Canis lupus familiaris: one gene and its partners. The protein of the gene in region 2 interacts with the protein of the main gene of each other region in a pairwise test. Links are inferred from orthologs where the notes say so. Each region holds a gene or a part of one and is shown on either strand. Other genes may lie near its edges.

Region 1 (4,862 bases), on a different chromosome or scaffold from region 2:
AGCTCCTCCCCTCGCACCCACTCCTCACACCCTCGCATCCAGAGCTACAGTCCCAGGGTTGGGAGAAAAATGCCTCAGGTCTCCCAAGTGTGGCCCAGGGACAGGCGAAGACACCCGGAATCCCCTGGGAAACAGGGAAGCAAGAAGGGCGCTCGGAATCTCTGCCGGAGGGGACAGAAGCAGAGGGACGGGCCATGGGTGATGTCCTGGGAGGGCAGCAGGCAGGTGCCTGGCTCTCGGGACCCCTCTCCCCGCACCCCCCACACGGCCAGCTCAGGGCCCTGCAAGGGACCCGGGGGAAGGGCGGATCCCCGGGGAAGCCCAGCGACCACCTGGGCAGCGTCCTCCAAGGCCATACCCAGCCACAGCAGGATGCCCCATCCCGTCTCCTGCAGGCGGTGGGGAGTGGGTCAGGCCACTGCCTCTGCCCTAGGACAGCCACTGGCATAACAGCACCAGCCCCCGCCACCCCCCTGGGGGGCCGATGTCATCGGGGCCAGGATGGCAGGAATAGAAAAGCACATGAGCTCACCAGGCAGGCCGGGTCTCCCGCGACGTTTTGTTTGCCTGAGCCCAATTATACCAAGTCTCAGGGCGATAGAGTATGGCGCGTGGCATCCCCCTGGGGCCGTGGGGGGCCGGGCCCCCAAGAACTGCACCGTCATGGCGAGGTGCCCCTGGGCTCAGGGGATGGGGCAGGACGGAGCTTTCTGGAGAAGAATGATGGAGATGCACGCCGGCGGCAGCCAGCCCGGAGGCTGGGCGGAGGGCATCGTAGGGGGCAGGGGGCTGCGGCCCAGACCCAAGTCCAAGTTGGTGGGCTCCGGGCGGTGGGGGCGGGAAGCAGCCGCCCCCAGCCCCAGCTGCCCGCCTTCCGCAGCCAAAGTATCAGCTGGCAGAGGAAGAAGAGAGCGGAGGGACAGAAGGCGGGCGAGATTGGCAGGAGGAGGGGGGCACAAAGGAAGGGACCCTGGGAGGGGGAGGGGAGTTATGCAAATAGCACAATCGACCGAATCCCTCGGCCATTAATAAAAGCTCCAGCAGCAGCAGCAGCTGGTAGCGCAGGAGTAGAGGCGCGGACTGGCTCTCCTCGCAGGCGGGAGGCGGCGATGAGGCGGAAGCAGGGCGCCCCAAACAAAAGGAGACCTTGCCCTCTGCACCCCAGGAACAGTAGTGATGGGGGCCACGCCGGGAAAGCTAGAACCCCAGCAGCCAAACTCTGGGTGGAGGCCGCTGGGGGCCCACAGCAGGTGGGTCCCCGTGCTTGGGACTCTCGGGGACCCTCCAGCTTCGTCCGGGCTTCTTGGAGTGAGAACGGACGCACAACCTGGACACCTCAGACACCCCCCTCCACTAGCTGTGCTGGCCAGGCCGGTCTTTTTTTTTTCCAGGGGTTCTGCCGGTGATAGAAGGGCCCTGGGCTCCAGAATGGGGACTCCCCCAGAGTGAGATGGGGGATACAGGGGGAATCCCAGTTGAGCCTAGCAAGGGGAGGGGAGGTGTCCCCCAGTTGGGAGGCGCTGGGGAGGTTTCTTAATGTGGGAGACGAGGTCCCTAGGGGGTGACTACATTTGAGAAAGGGGTATTCTCAAAAGCTGCCCATTTACAGGGCGACCAGAGGAGAATCTGAAATTGGGGGAAGGGTCGCTAAGCTGGAGGTTCCAGACGCGGGGGGGGGGGGGGGGGGGGGGGAGGGAAACGACACAGGCTGTGTCTGGGAAAAAAAAAAAAAATCCCAGTTTGCGCAAGGGTTCCCTGATTTGAGAATTCTGGAGAAAAGAGGCTGCAGGGGAGTTCTCCGATTTAGGGTGGAGGGAAGTGACCAGAACTTGGGGGGTGCTAAGTGAGATCGTAAATCTGGGAGAGATTTCCATAAGGAGCAGTGAACTTGGCCGAAAGCCTTGCGCCCCGACTCCGGGGGCTGTCCTCAGGGCACACCCCCCCCAGCGCCCCCTTCACCGGGTTCCGGCGACTCCGCCCCCCGGATGACGTCACCTCCCCTCCCCCCGCCCCTAAGGGGGCTCCCGGGGCGCGCAAAACCCCCCGGGCTGCCGGCTCCAGGGGCGGCTTCCCCTCTCCCGGGATCCCCAGGGGAGGTCGGTGCCGGGTGCGCGCACCCGTCCGTCCGTCGGTCCGTCCGCGTCCCTGGGGCTGGGGGCTGAGCCTCGCCCCGCCTGGGGGACGGGGAGGGGCGCCGGGGCCGCAGAAGGGTGGGGCAAGGCCGGGGCGCTGGGGGGCGGCCTCCCCCGGGGACCTACGCGGCCAGGAGGGCGCTAAGGTGAGGCGGCGTTGAGTCCGAGGTCTCCAGGGGCGGGGGCCTGCGGAGCCGGGCGCGGGCAGAGCAGCCCCCCGGGCGCCCCGGCCGCTCCGCCCTCGCGCCCACCTGGAGCACCGGTCCCGGGCCGGCCTCCGCTCCGGGGCGCCCGCGAGCCCCCTCCCCCGGCACAGCGCCCCCTGCCTCCCGGACCCGCCCGGGAAACCGGGGCCGGAGCCGCCGGGGCCAGCAGCCCCTCCGCACACACGCGCGTGCCCCTCCGCGCCTCCGCCCCGCCCGCGGCCCGGGTGGTGCAGCCGGCGGCGCTGGGCAGCTTCCAGCCGCGCTCCGGGCCATTCCAGCCCAGCCCCCTCCCCGCCGCGGCGAAGCCCCCCGCCCCGCCCGCCGAGCCTCCCCGCGGCCCCCGCCCGCCCGGCCCGGCCCCTCCGGGGCATTGTTCGCACGCCGCTAGCCAGGCGCAGGGCTGGGCGTGCAGCCGGCTGCAGCGGAGCATCCTCCGAGCACAATGGCCGTGCAGGCTCTCCCGGCACAAAGCCGGCGCGCTGCCCACTCCGCTGCCTCCGAGACCCCCACCGGAGCGCCTGCAGGTTTTTTTTTTTTTCAATCCAATTCGCGTTTTATTCCCCCCCCGCCCGTTTACCTGGAGGCTGGCTGGGCTGGGCTCCCCCGGCTCTGCCCCGCTTCACATCCTGGCTGTTGCATGGGATTCGAGCGGAGCCCGGGCGCCAGCGGCTCGCGGCGTGCGCGCGCCGGCCGGGCTGCCGGGCGGGCGGCGCGAGGACACTCACTGCGGCTCGCGCTCCCCTCGCGCCGGTTCGCGCGCCCCCCCCAGCCGGTGACGTCATCCCTTCCGCCAGCGCCGCCGCCGCCGCCGCCGGCCGGGGGCGGGGTCGGGGCGGGGCCGGGCCGCGCGCGTCACTGCGCAGCCGCGCGGCGGCCACGCCCCCCCGGCCAATGAGAGGGCGCGGGTGGGTCACGTGGCCCCGGGGCGTTTAAAGGGCCGCGAGAGCACGTGGGGCGCGGGGCGCCGAGGAGCGCGGGGCGCGTGGGCGGCGGCGGCGCGAGGACTCGTCCGGCAGCTGCTCGGCGTCCGACCCCCGCGACGCTCGGCCCCCGGGGCGTGGTGCTTGCGGGGCGCGCGCTGTGGCCCCCCGAGTCTCCCTCGAGTACGCCCACGTGTGCCCGTGCTGCAGCCCCGCCGGCTCCCTCCCGGCTCAGCCCCCTCGCCCGGAATAGCGCTCCCCCGAGGGCCTCCCCTTCTTGCGGCCGCTGCTCCGATGGCAGCTCCCGGGAAAAGCCCTCCTGGGTCGCCGCCACCAGCCTCCCGGCGCCCCATTCTCTGATCCATCAGGGCTGCTTTCATTCTGGTCACAAGAAGGTGTGACTCCAAAGGGCCTGGGGATCCCTTTTATGGGTCGAATGGACGAGGGAGCATTTATTTCCTCCCTCCTCATTACCGTTCCCTGCTTCCCTGGCTGGAGTCGGCATGAATCGTCACAGGAATCCCAGCTCGGGCACTGAGTCGCTGTGTGGGTCCGTGAGCCTCAGTTTTCCCACCTGCAAAACGGGCTTGTCCCTTTGCGGGTCGGTGTCCTGTCTGTGAAGTGGGGCAAGGTAGAGAGTGGGAGGGTGGACTGGTGATGGTGTGCTGCCCTGCCTGTCTTCTTAGCGGCTTGAAAATGGAATGAGGAAAAAAAAGAAAGAAACAAAGGGGAAGGATTGCCATGGGAGGTTGGAGGGCCCAAAGACACCAAACAAGATTGCACGCTTCTGGGTGAGTTCTGCACACGCTGAAAGCGGTTTATTTCTCCAAGGGATGTATCTGGACAGGGCCTTGCGCCTACAAAAGGACACAAGTTTAGAGTTTGGGTTTTTCCTCCAAAATCGTTGATTCATTCATTCCAGGCCAAAGATGCAGATATAAACAAAAGGCATTAACCCCGAGAACAAAATGAGAAGGCGGAAGTCATAAATAGGAGAAGAGAGAGGAGAGAATGAATAATTAAACAAGGAACCTAAATTAAGCTCGGAGTTTCCCGGCGGCCAGTGCAGCGGCCAGGTTTGCAGAGCCTATTTGGTTCTCCTTCCTAGCTGCGTGACCCTGACCTAAGCGGCGGCAGCCTGGCCTTGGTTTTCTCATCCAGGCAAGGGAGACCCAGCCCCTTCTTGATGATGGTTTCTCGTACACAGTAGGTTCTCTGGCAGCCCGGTGAGGGCGGTGTGAAGGGAGACTGCCGGCTCTGGAAGGCTGCATGTGGCAGGAGCCCCAGCCTCGCCACCTATTAGGGGAGGGATCTGGAACAAGCCACGCAGACTCGCGGTTCCCATCTGCTAAAGGGGCAACCACATCTGAGAGTTCTCCCGAGCAGCAGAGGAAAGGGCATAAGATCCAGTACAGCATATGCCCAGGAAACGGGTCCGCCCAGGCCGTCACTCTGTGTGCGGTGCTGTTTTAAAGGTTGAAGACACAGAGGTAAACAAAACAGGCTTAAAAAAAAAAAAAAAGAAAATTCCTGCCTTCCAGGCGTTAACGATCCAGGGAAGGAGATAGATAGTATCTGAGGGTGAAAACCCACATCCTCCCTGT
Region 2 (5,101 bases):
GGTGCTCAGGTGGGGAAGAGGCGAGTCAGGGAGCCCAGGAAGGCAGGGAGGCGGGTGTGGCCAGCATTGTACTCTCCACTCAACGAAGAGCTTCCACAATACTAAGCAGTAGCTAAAAACAAATCACTGAGCGACTGTGCCACCCCGCTGGTGGGACAACCTTCACTGCACTAGACTGTACTGCACAAAACTGCTGTCCCTTCTGTTAGGCTGTTGTGTGTGCTCATTCTTTCAAAAGTCCACCTGATCAAATACATAAGTATTTGACATGCGCTTCAATGCACTGTCTCAAATTACATTAAAACAAATACAATCACAAATCAAAAAAACAAAAACTACTGAAAAATTTACAAGTACACTAAAATCCTGGTGGAGCATCATTTGGCCCATGCTTTCGAGCTCGTGGTAATAAAACCAGACCTACACAAAGTACACAATTCGTGACGCTTGCCCGAGAAAAACCGTGATGGCTCCCCGATCCAACAGAAAAGGAGCACTACAGCACTAACGGCAGATTATTATTGCTAAAAAGGAAATGCAAACGTCTGGCTTATCAATCTTTCAGGAGAACCAGCTACAGCCAAGAAATGCATTCAGGCTGGCAATTACTCATTTACTAATTTAGCACTGCAGACCGACGGTGGGAGCACAAGCATGTGCTTATGCAGGCCTACCTGAAAGGACCACAAAGGCGCCTATTACGGGTAACTCAAGTGGCACCTAGGCGGCTGTGAACACCCAAGTAACCTCTGTGTCTCCGGCATGCTCTGTGCCACTCGCCTTACACTTTCCTCTACCCTCTACCCTCACCTATCATGACGTCCTCACTCAGCTCCACAAGGAGAGGCTTTGAAACTAGTCCAAATGTCATATACTAAGATTAATGGCTTCGGCGTCACTTCAAGCTTACAATTCTCATCGGCCAAGAAGAAAGTTCCGAAGGAATTAATCTCTGTCTCATATCCTCCACAACAAACTTCATTTATAAAACACAGGTGTTCTTAGAAAAGTGGACTGTAAAAATATCTTTATCTTTCCTGTGAAATCAATCCTATCTATCCATTAAATTTCATTAGAAAATGGGAAATGCGATAAAATCCATAAGAAACACAGGTTGAGCAAGAAAGGCCTAAGACGACAGAATGGAAGGCAGCACGCAGCTTGGATGCCTCATGGCCCTTGTCCAAAAACTTCGGAGCACTGTCCCAAATTAAGGCAGAAGAAAGGAACAAGAGTTACGAGGTGTTTAAGTATAGTGCACCACAGCTTGTCTTCCCTCAGAGGTTCAACCCTCGGGAACCCTCTCTGCACATGACTTACAGACACCAGAACCACAAGCAGCCCAGGTGGCTCAGCAGTTCAGTGCCACCTTCGGCCCAGGGTGTGATCCTGGAGACCTGGGATCGAGTCCCACTTCGGGCTCCCTGCATGGAGCCTGCTTCTCTCTCTCTCTCTCTCTCTTTCTCTCTGTCTCTCATGAATAAAGAAATTAAATCTTTAATAATTAAAAAAAAAAACCAGAACCACCATTTCACAGACTCATGTAAAACATGAACACCATGAAAGGTGACACCATAATTTAGAAGGGGAAAGAAAGATCTGTAAAGTTCCAGGTGAAAGGCATCCATACCTGTGGAAGTGCAGTATTGAGCTGCCTCTGCAAGGAATCTCTTTCATGCCCGACCTCATGTAACTTCCCCTGGGTTAATGCCAGCGTTTCCTGAGTCTCTCTCAGCGTGTCCAGAAGACGGTCCCTCTCCTCCAGCATGGACACCATCAACTGTTCGAAATGTGAATCTGCATCTGGCTGCGAAGGAGAGCTGGACCCACGGCTCCCACTTCCTCCTGGCAGGCCTTCTGCTTCACTGATGGTCGGCATCACCTCGCACATCATCTTGAAATAAAACACCCAGACTCCAGTCATTAAGTGCAAAATAAAGGCTCCCACAAACCTGCAACTTTATTAGCTCTCCGTGCTGCTCATAAAATGAAGGTTGACAGCCTCGTTATTCTCAGATCCGACTGTTACACTCTGAGTATAAGTAAGCGGAAAAAAACATACACAGGCGAATCCTGAGTGTGGGAACAGATTAATACGTGGGATAGTGCAGGGCAGGGTAGAGACCTCACAGACTACCCCTGGAGTACAGAACCAACCCTGGGGCGTTTTGTCTGCAAAGCTGTACTTTCTGGTTGTTGAAAACAAGTGTGCTTCTGCAACTTACTTTTTCCCCTTTATTTCCCGGTTCGGGGAGAGAAAGTCAAAACACATGCCACCCAATCATGTTTCGGGAAAAGCACAGAAGGAGCATACAGCCAGTAAAACTGACAAGTACAAAATGCATCAGGCATCTTGGAGGAATGTGTGCAGTCAGCTCCCGAGGAGGACTGGCGGCTCCCTCGGCTTCGGGCCGGACTGGGTGAGCGCTCAAAGGCACCGGATTCGTTAAGGGCCGGGAAAGGTGTTTGTCAGTGGCTGCAAAAGGTGTGACGGTCAGGCAACCCAACTTACGTAAGTTTACGGCCGGAGGGAAAAAAAGAAAAGAGTATTAGAAAGGAAACTTGCACACCGGGCATGGAGCAGGTCGGTGCGGCCGCGGACGGCTAGGAGGGAGCGGAGGAGGAAGCAAGACGGAAGAAAGGACAGGGAGGAGGACGGAGGAGAAGGGAAAGGGGAGAAGGAGACGCCGCCAGCGAGGCCCACAGCAGGCGGGCGCCGCGGGAGGAGGCTGGAGCCCCGGGGGCGGCGACGCCGCGACCGCCGCGACCGCCGCGACCTCCTCGCCCCTCGCCCAGCGCCGCGCTGCAGGGCCCCGGGCCCCGGACCCCGGACCCCGGACCGCGGGGCACCGCTGACAGCTGGAGCGCAGCCCGGGCCGCGGCTTCCCCGGCCACAGGTCCTCGGCCCCCGAGCCCGGCGCGGGGCTGACCCGGGGCTGACCCGGGGCTGACCCGGGGCTGACCCGGGGCCCCCGGGGCGCCGCGGCCCCAGGAGCCCGGCCTCGGGGCGCCCCGCCGGGGCCCACCGCCTCCGCGCCCGGGGGCTGACAGCGAGCGCCGCCGCGGGGAGGGGGCCGCCGCGGGGAGGGGCCGGCGCCCGGGCGCCCGCGGCCCCGCTCCGCCCCGCTCCGCCCCAGCCTGCCTCAGTCTCCCGCTCCTTACCTTGCTCGCCGGCGGGAGCGGGCGAGGAGGCTCCGCGGCGCCGTGCGGGCGGCTGCTCGCTCCGGGCGAGCTCGGGGCCCGACGAAAGCGGCCCGCGCCCGCGCCCGCCGGCCCCGGGCCCGCAGCCCCCAGTCACCAAGGCCGGCCCGCGGCCGGACACTGCCTGAGCGCAGGAGGAGCGGGCCCGGCTGCGCGTCGCCGGCGTCAACGTGCCCGACGTCGGGCGCGTCGGCGCAGCGTCAGCGCCGAGCGCCGCCGGCCGGCCCCGCCCCCCGGGGGTTGGGGAGCGCCGCGGAGGCCGGGCGCGCAAGCCCCGCCCACTCGAGGGGCGGGGCGGGTCCCCCGGCGCCCATTGGCCAGGTGCGGGCGGAGCCCCGCCCCCGGCCCCGCCCCCCAGGTAGGGGCCTTCTCCACCGAGCCGGAGCTCACCTACCGCGGCTCCGGCCGCCCAGAGGCCGTTGGCAACGTCTACCGTGCGTCGGGTTCTGAGCCAGCGCCTTCCTCGAGGCGGGTGCGCCCCGGCGCGAGACACCTGCTGGCTGCCTCCTCGGGGTCGGACCCTCCTCGGGACCGACCGTTCCAGGACTCAGAAGGTCGCGGCGTCTACGCGGGGCCCTTACCTGCGATTCCTGCGGATGCCCAGTGGGCACCGTTTGATGCGGAGATTCCTGGGCGCGGCGTGGGGAGTGCAGGCTCGCCCCTGCGCGGTGGCCTGGGCAGGTCAGCGGAGCCCGCGGCGCTCAGCGCCCCACCTGTATGATGTGAAAACGACACGGCCTTACTCCTGGGCTGCTAGAGCAAGTGGGATCCCACGGGGGGCGGCTCCATTCACGTCCTTATTCATACTCACTCATTCATTTCCTTCTTTGGGCTACTTTGTGCTTTCCAGGTACTACATCATGAATGCACATTATTTTTATCATTAGGGAAGCCCCCTCCCTCCCCCACCCCCCCAATAAATGTTCCTTTAGTAAAACCTAGGCAAACATAAATCATGGAAAATAGCTTTTGGGAAGCTAAAATGCCTTTTCTGTGTACCTATACCACCCAACTAAACTATTTCCCCAAAGTATTTATCCAAAACCTGTTTTAGAGATGGAGTGGCACCCTTGTAAGGCTTAGTCAAGAAAACGAGCCATTTTCCCTAAAATGGTTTTGCTCCAACTCTCCCGTCGAAGGCTTGATAAAGAAAACCCAGGAATGTGGGAGGGGAGGGGATAGATAGACCAGTACTATGGCCAGGGTCGTGTTTTTACAAATGTGCCCACCAGCCTCAGCTCTCTCATGATGTGGTTGGTTGTCAACCATAAGCATGGCCCAGGCCACCTCTCCTAGTTTCTAGAGATGGCTTTCTAGAGCTCGGGAGGAGTGTTCCTCTAAGATCGGAGTGTGACCAGTCCTAGAGATCTGGATGTGTCCCAGGTCTATCAAGACTATGGAAAACAACCTAATGAATAGTGTGACCCTACAGTTCGGGGAAGGCCTGAGCTGGGGGTGGGTGGCAGAAGATGTGGCCCTCTTCCTCCTCTGTTCAAAAGGAGAAACTAAGGCCTCATTTCCTTTCGAATCCCCAAAAGGACTTGCCCACAGGCACCCAGTTAGTTTAGCGTTGGAACTGGAGCCACGAATGAATGGGAGCTTTTGATCCCTGACCCAGTCGCTATGCTGTTGTGACCAAGAAGTTGTCTCTTTAAGGGACAACCAAAGAGTAAGATTTCTATCAGTGAGGCTCCAGGGCTGCCCAAGTAGTCCGGTCGGTCCCCTGAGGAAAGAGGTGGGGGCCCTGGACTGGGTGACTTCAGCCACTAGCGTCAACCCTGTTGAAGTTTCCTGTGTGTCCCCGAGAAGGTAAGCAATCAGTAAAGAAGGAGAGAGGGAAAGAACGAGAACCTTTGAAAGAGTACTTACATTTCCAATTTCCTATTCAAAGAAATTCGTA
Region 3 (5,015 bases), on a different chromosome or scaffold from region 2:
GAGACTGAGTTAGTCATCATCTTGCACAGACAACACCATAAGGGGGCAGGTGCTTTGCATAATTACAAAGATAGACATACACATGCACACACACACACACACACACACACACACACTTGCATGCATGGAAGGAATCTTTTTGTTTCCTATCCTATCATTTCCAAGAACAGCTTTAAGTGATAATGATTGTGAACCCTCTTGGATGGCTGAGCTCAGTGGGTTTATGGGGGTGGAGCAGGTAGCCTGGCAGGAGATGGGTTCAGAAGAAGGGTCACTCCTGAAGAGCAAAGGGACATGGCAGGCAATGAAGCAGGCATGAAAAGAAAAGAGGTGAAAGGACCCTGGGGAAAATGTCACATGTATTGATTAAGCTTTATTTCTCTTTGGGAGAAAGTGACATTTATGCTATTAGATCATGGACATATAAGGAAAGTAGATGGCCCACTGCTTTCGGTTTTCTTCCACAGTGCTTAGGGCACCTTTGACTAGAGGGTACCTGGAAGGCTTTCTGTTGCATTATTATAAACAGGACAATTATTTTTTTTAAAGGACCAACGTGGTGACATTGGTCTTTCTTTACTAAGAGAGAGAGAGCATTCGTTGTCACAGCTGTATCCTTTGATCAGACACAAATGACGGTAAAATGTTAGAAGCTTTCTGTGACATTTCTTCCATCCTGCTCTTCCCCAGTGCTAATTCTCTTTTCTAGCTTTGCTCAGGGGGTTTAAGTTACTCTTTCCTTGCTGGCAGAGTCTGTGATACACCACCTCAGAGGCATCGGTCATTCCCCTAAGCAGGTAGTAAAGAAATACACCCCCCACCTCCACCCCCACGCAGTCCCCGTCCTCGCCTCTGAAGCCAGGCTAGTTTCCAGCAACTCTTGTTCGGGGCTTTCCCTTCTCAGCTACTGCCTTGACAGAGCCCTGTCTCTACCTCAAGCCCAGCCACGCTGCCAAGCACCCCAACTGAAAACTACACGCAGGGCACCCTGCACCACGCAGCTCTGCTCCTCTTCCTCCTCCTCATTAAAGTGGACCCTTCGTGAGCAACGAATGTCTTGCAAATTAAAACTCTGCCCCCTGCATTTTTAGCTCCTCTGCCCCCCTGACGCTTGCCGCCAGCTTCCCTCCGAAAAAGAAACCCACCCAAACCCCAAAATGAAATAACCCAAAGCACGCAAACACCTGAAGAGGCGCAACCGGGATCTACACCTGGACAAGTCCTCTGTGGCTCTAGTGGTCGGGATAGAGCATCCTCTCCCCGCGCGGACCGCTTTATCCCGCCCGGGGCCCGGGGCATGGCACGGCCTCCGGGCCGCGGGGTCGGCGGGGTCGCGCCCGGGCAGCTCGGGTCGCCGCGCAGGCCGCCCTCCTCCGGCCCCGGCCCGCCGCCGCCGCCGCCTCCACCCGGGCCGGCGCTCGCAGCACCCGGCGCCGCGTCCTCCCCGCCCGACCCCCGCCCTCCCGCGCCGGCCCGCGCCGCTGGCAGCCATCAAGTGGCTCGTTAGGGAAATGCAGGTGAGTGCGTGCGGCCGAGACGTGGGGTGTGTGCCTGTGTGTGCGAGCGCGAGCCAGCCAGCCAGCGCGGGAGCCGCCGGGAGGTGCCGGCCGCCTCCGCTCCCCGCCCCTCGCCGCCCGCTCCGGCACCTGCACCTGCGCCCGCGCCCGCACCTGCGCCCGCGCCCGCGCCCGCGCCCGCGGCGGCCGCCCGAGCGCCCCGGGCCGCGCCTCGCCCAGCGCCTCGCCCGGACGGCCGCTCGCCGGCCCTCCCCGCGGTCGCGGTCGCGGTCGCGGTCGCGGTCTCGGTCTCGGTCTCGGTCGCGGGCTCCGTCGCGGTCTCGGTCTCGGTCTCGGCCGCAGCTCGGCCGGCCTCCCGGCGCCCCCCCCCCCCCCCGCCCGGCGGTCCCCTCCCCGCCCGCGCCCTCCCGCGGCTCCTCCTCCTCCTGTCCGCCTCCTCCCCTCGCGCGCCGCCGACAGGCAGCCTCGGCGGGCAGAGTGCGGGTACTTTGCCTTCTGAAGAATTTGCAGGACCCAAGCACGCTTTCGGAGCGCCCCGATTTTCTTCGGTCGGTGTCCCCTCCCTCCGGAAACGAAGATCCCACTTGTGCAACAAACAGCACCCGAAGCATCCTGCCCAAGCCAAAGCCCGACGGGCTGCTGAGCATGTGCTGCCCTTTCTTGCAGTTTATTCTGGGCCTGTGTGGAATAGAGAGACAATTCTTTATTTGACTGGTAGGAAAGAGAAGAGAAGACTCCTCAGGGTTTCCAAGGAGGACTGGAGCGGCTGCTTTAGTAAGTAAACTGTGTTTTTTTTTTTTTTTTTTTTGATATTTCTTTACTCTCAAGTGAGGGAAGAGCATATGCCGAATGCTCTCCCTTCAGATGGTATGGACAGTTCGTTTCACCGGGGAAGAAGTTGACTTACATGACTTAAGTAGTTCTTAATTGAGAAGTGGTTTGTTAAGCTGCTTGCTTGCTTATTTATTTATTTATTTATTTATTATTATTATTATTATTTATTTTTTTTTTGGAAATGCATTGAGAAGACTTCATTGTGGGAAACCTTATTGGGGAATCTGATTTTTAAACCTTTATTGTTCAAGGGCTGTTGGAAGCCTGGCTTGTGAAACGTTGGTTGGTTCCAAGATATAAGGCTGGTTACCTAGAAAAAGCTTGAGAATTCGAACCTGCTGGTTCACTTTTCCTGCTACTGTCCACCTCCACCCTCAGCCACACCAACTCCCATCCTTCTCTGACTTCACTTGGTTGCTTATCTTTAGTCCTGAAGACAGCTGGCCAAAAAATTGGGTCAAGGGAAACTTGATAAAGACGGTCTGAAAGACCAGGAGAAAATCCTGTTGAGGTTTCTAGGTAGATGAGATGTGGAAGAAAATCCTCCAACTAGGCTAGTTTGGATAATTTGGATGAAATTCATTCAGAGAGGGAATGTGAAAAATGCTTTGGAGAGGGCAGGAGCTGAGGCTGTGACTTTGACACAGCAGGTTATAGACTGTGACAGGGGCTCAGCAGCCAGTGACAGGCTTAAGGTGTCTCCTAGGGCCGAATATCTCTGCATCAAAAACTTTTGCAGGCAGTATTCCTCTTGGGGCTAACATCACCATGTCGGTAGCTGCAGCATTTCTGTAAGAACAAGTAGGACACTCTTCCTCTTTCTGTGAAAGGGTTAATGATATATTTAAAAAGAATAAGAGGTATACAGTCTAACACTTGCCAATATTTTGTAATATCTAAATAAAACCTTTGTGTTATGTCAGTAAAAATATAGTTGAGTCAGTTTGTTTTGCACAGGAGGGAGAGAATCAATAACATTTCAGCATTTTTTTCTTTATTACTGCCAAATGGACTCGGAATCTAATTCTTCTTGCATTGTTACATATATAGTAGATACAGTAGAATTCCAGTTTAGATACAACAGAGCTGATTTTTTTTTTTAACAAAGTTCTCTGACATAATAGCATGCAGGCTGACTACTGTAGAATAGTAATTTAAAAAGTTTACCTTTAACTTTCAATTTCTATCTCAATGTAAAGCACACTTTTGCAAGCAAATGTCTTTAAGAGTTATGAACCAGATTGAAAATTAAAGCTCCTTACTTACAGATAATATTGTTTTTCCACAGAACACCTTACTATCAAATAATACCCAAGGGCTCTCATATTTAATTGCTGATAATGGTAAAGTGAAAAAAATATTATCTTTGTATTTACTCAAATATATAAAAGTGGCACTATTCATTTGGCATTGATTTTTAAAATTTTACAAGTAAACTCATGTACAATGGTTTTAAAAAAAAAGAAAGATGTTTTAGAGTTGTATGGTTCTTCAATGTCAAAAGCTTTGAATATCTTGGGACATAAGTTTTGAGGGTAATGAAATAACAGTAGGGCAATTGAATTTGTTGATATGAAGTTGTAATATATGGAAATCATTTGGTAAAGATATGTCACTGTTTATTGTATATTACTTTATTTTCTATCCAAATGGATTTTCTTAGAGGTATTGCTATTCTCAGTTTCCATTTCTGCGTTGTTTTAAAATGAATTTAGGTAATTTAAAATTAAACCCTTGGTTGATCAGATTTGATCCCTCTTCACTTGTGACCTCAAACACCTGAAAGGTATCTGATGTTTGAAAAAGCAGTTATTGAAAAATAAAAGGTAAGAGTGTACTGAAGTAGCCAATTTTAAGAGTGGATCAAACATGTTATTACATATATTACAATAGGACACATTAGAAAAGTAGAAAAGAAGAAAAGACATGACAGTAGAAAAGACATGACAAAATTGTTGACTATATTCAAATTGCTGAAAGCAAAGATTTACAATTAACATGAAAATTAATGTGAAACACATTCTGCCTGTGTTCTAATTATGTTAGAGTGCCAAGGAAGATAGCCTGAATTAAAACCATTTCTAGTCAAGCTTGAACATGTTATATTTGATCACTTTCAAAGAAGTCAAAACTGGGTGGGATGATTAAATTGTCTTTTTGTTTGTTTTCTTGTTTTTGCCTTTTTTTTTTTCTTGCCACCAGTTTTCTATGCAATACAGAGGTGGTTGCAACTTTAAAGTTGAAAAAAGAAAGTTGCTAGTGTCAGCAGTAATGTGTTTTATTATGCAGTTGTTCTTGTTATTCAGATCAGATAATGGCCCTATGAAATACATAAGCAGTCTGCAGGGAATGAATGATTAATTCCTCTAACGTGTGCTTACTAAAGGAGTTCTTATTAATAAAGTGCCGTATACCTGCATTTGCTTGCCATTGCAGTTGGTGAAGGCAAATGTACTTTTCTTTTCCTTTAATACTAATATGGAATTTACAGGTCTAGTCCTGTAACTGTAGTAGCTTAAAGATGACTTCATCGAACACATGATCTTATGTTTTATAGAACCCTTTGGATATGATTGCTATTTACTTAAAACAATTTATTTGGAAAGTAAAATGTTGTTAATTAAATGTGAACTTAAAGACTGAACATTAAAAATTGTGTTTTTC

The links.
Region 1: the proteins of PPFIA1 (region 2) and PTPRS interact in a two-hybrid assay, tested with the Homo sapiens proteins (2 studies listed by BioGRID). The link is inferred for Canis lupus familiaris from reciprocal best matches to the Homo sapiens genes PPFIA1 and PTPRS.
Region 3: the proteins of PPFIA1 (region 2) and PTPRD interact in a two-hybrid assay, tested with the Homo sapiens proteins (2 studies listed by BioGRID). The link is inferred for Canis lupus familiaris from reciprocal best matches to the Homo sapiens genes PPFIA1 and PTPRD.

The regions. Positions count from the first base shown.
Region 1 is NC_049241.1:54,969,613-54,974,474, reverse strand, and holds the start of PTPRS (receptor-type tyrosine-protein phosphatase S), read right to left. Parts: upstream 3,055-4,862; 5' UTR 2,916-3,054; intron 1-2,915. UniProt on the Homo sapiens protein: Cell surface receptor that binds to glycosaminoglycans, including chondroitin sulfate proteoglycans and heparan sulfate proteoglycan.
Region 2 is NC_049239.1:48,512,922-48,518,022, forward strand, and holds the start of PPFIA1 (liprin-alpha-1), read right to left. Parts: upstream 3,257-5,101; 5' UTR 3,163-3,256; intron 1,895-3,162; coding exon 1,631-1,894; intron 1-1,630. UniProt on the Homo sapiens protein: May regulate the disassembly of focal adhesions. May localize receptor-like tyrosine phosphatases type 2A at specific sites on the plasma membrane, possibly regulating their interaction with the extracellular environment and their association with substrates.
Region 3 is NC_049232.1:31,345,925-31,350,939, reverse strand, and holds the start of PTPRD (receptor-type tyrosine-protein phosphatase delta), read left to right. Parts: upstream 1-1,961; 5' UTR 1,962-2,291; intron 2,292-5,015.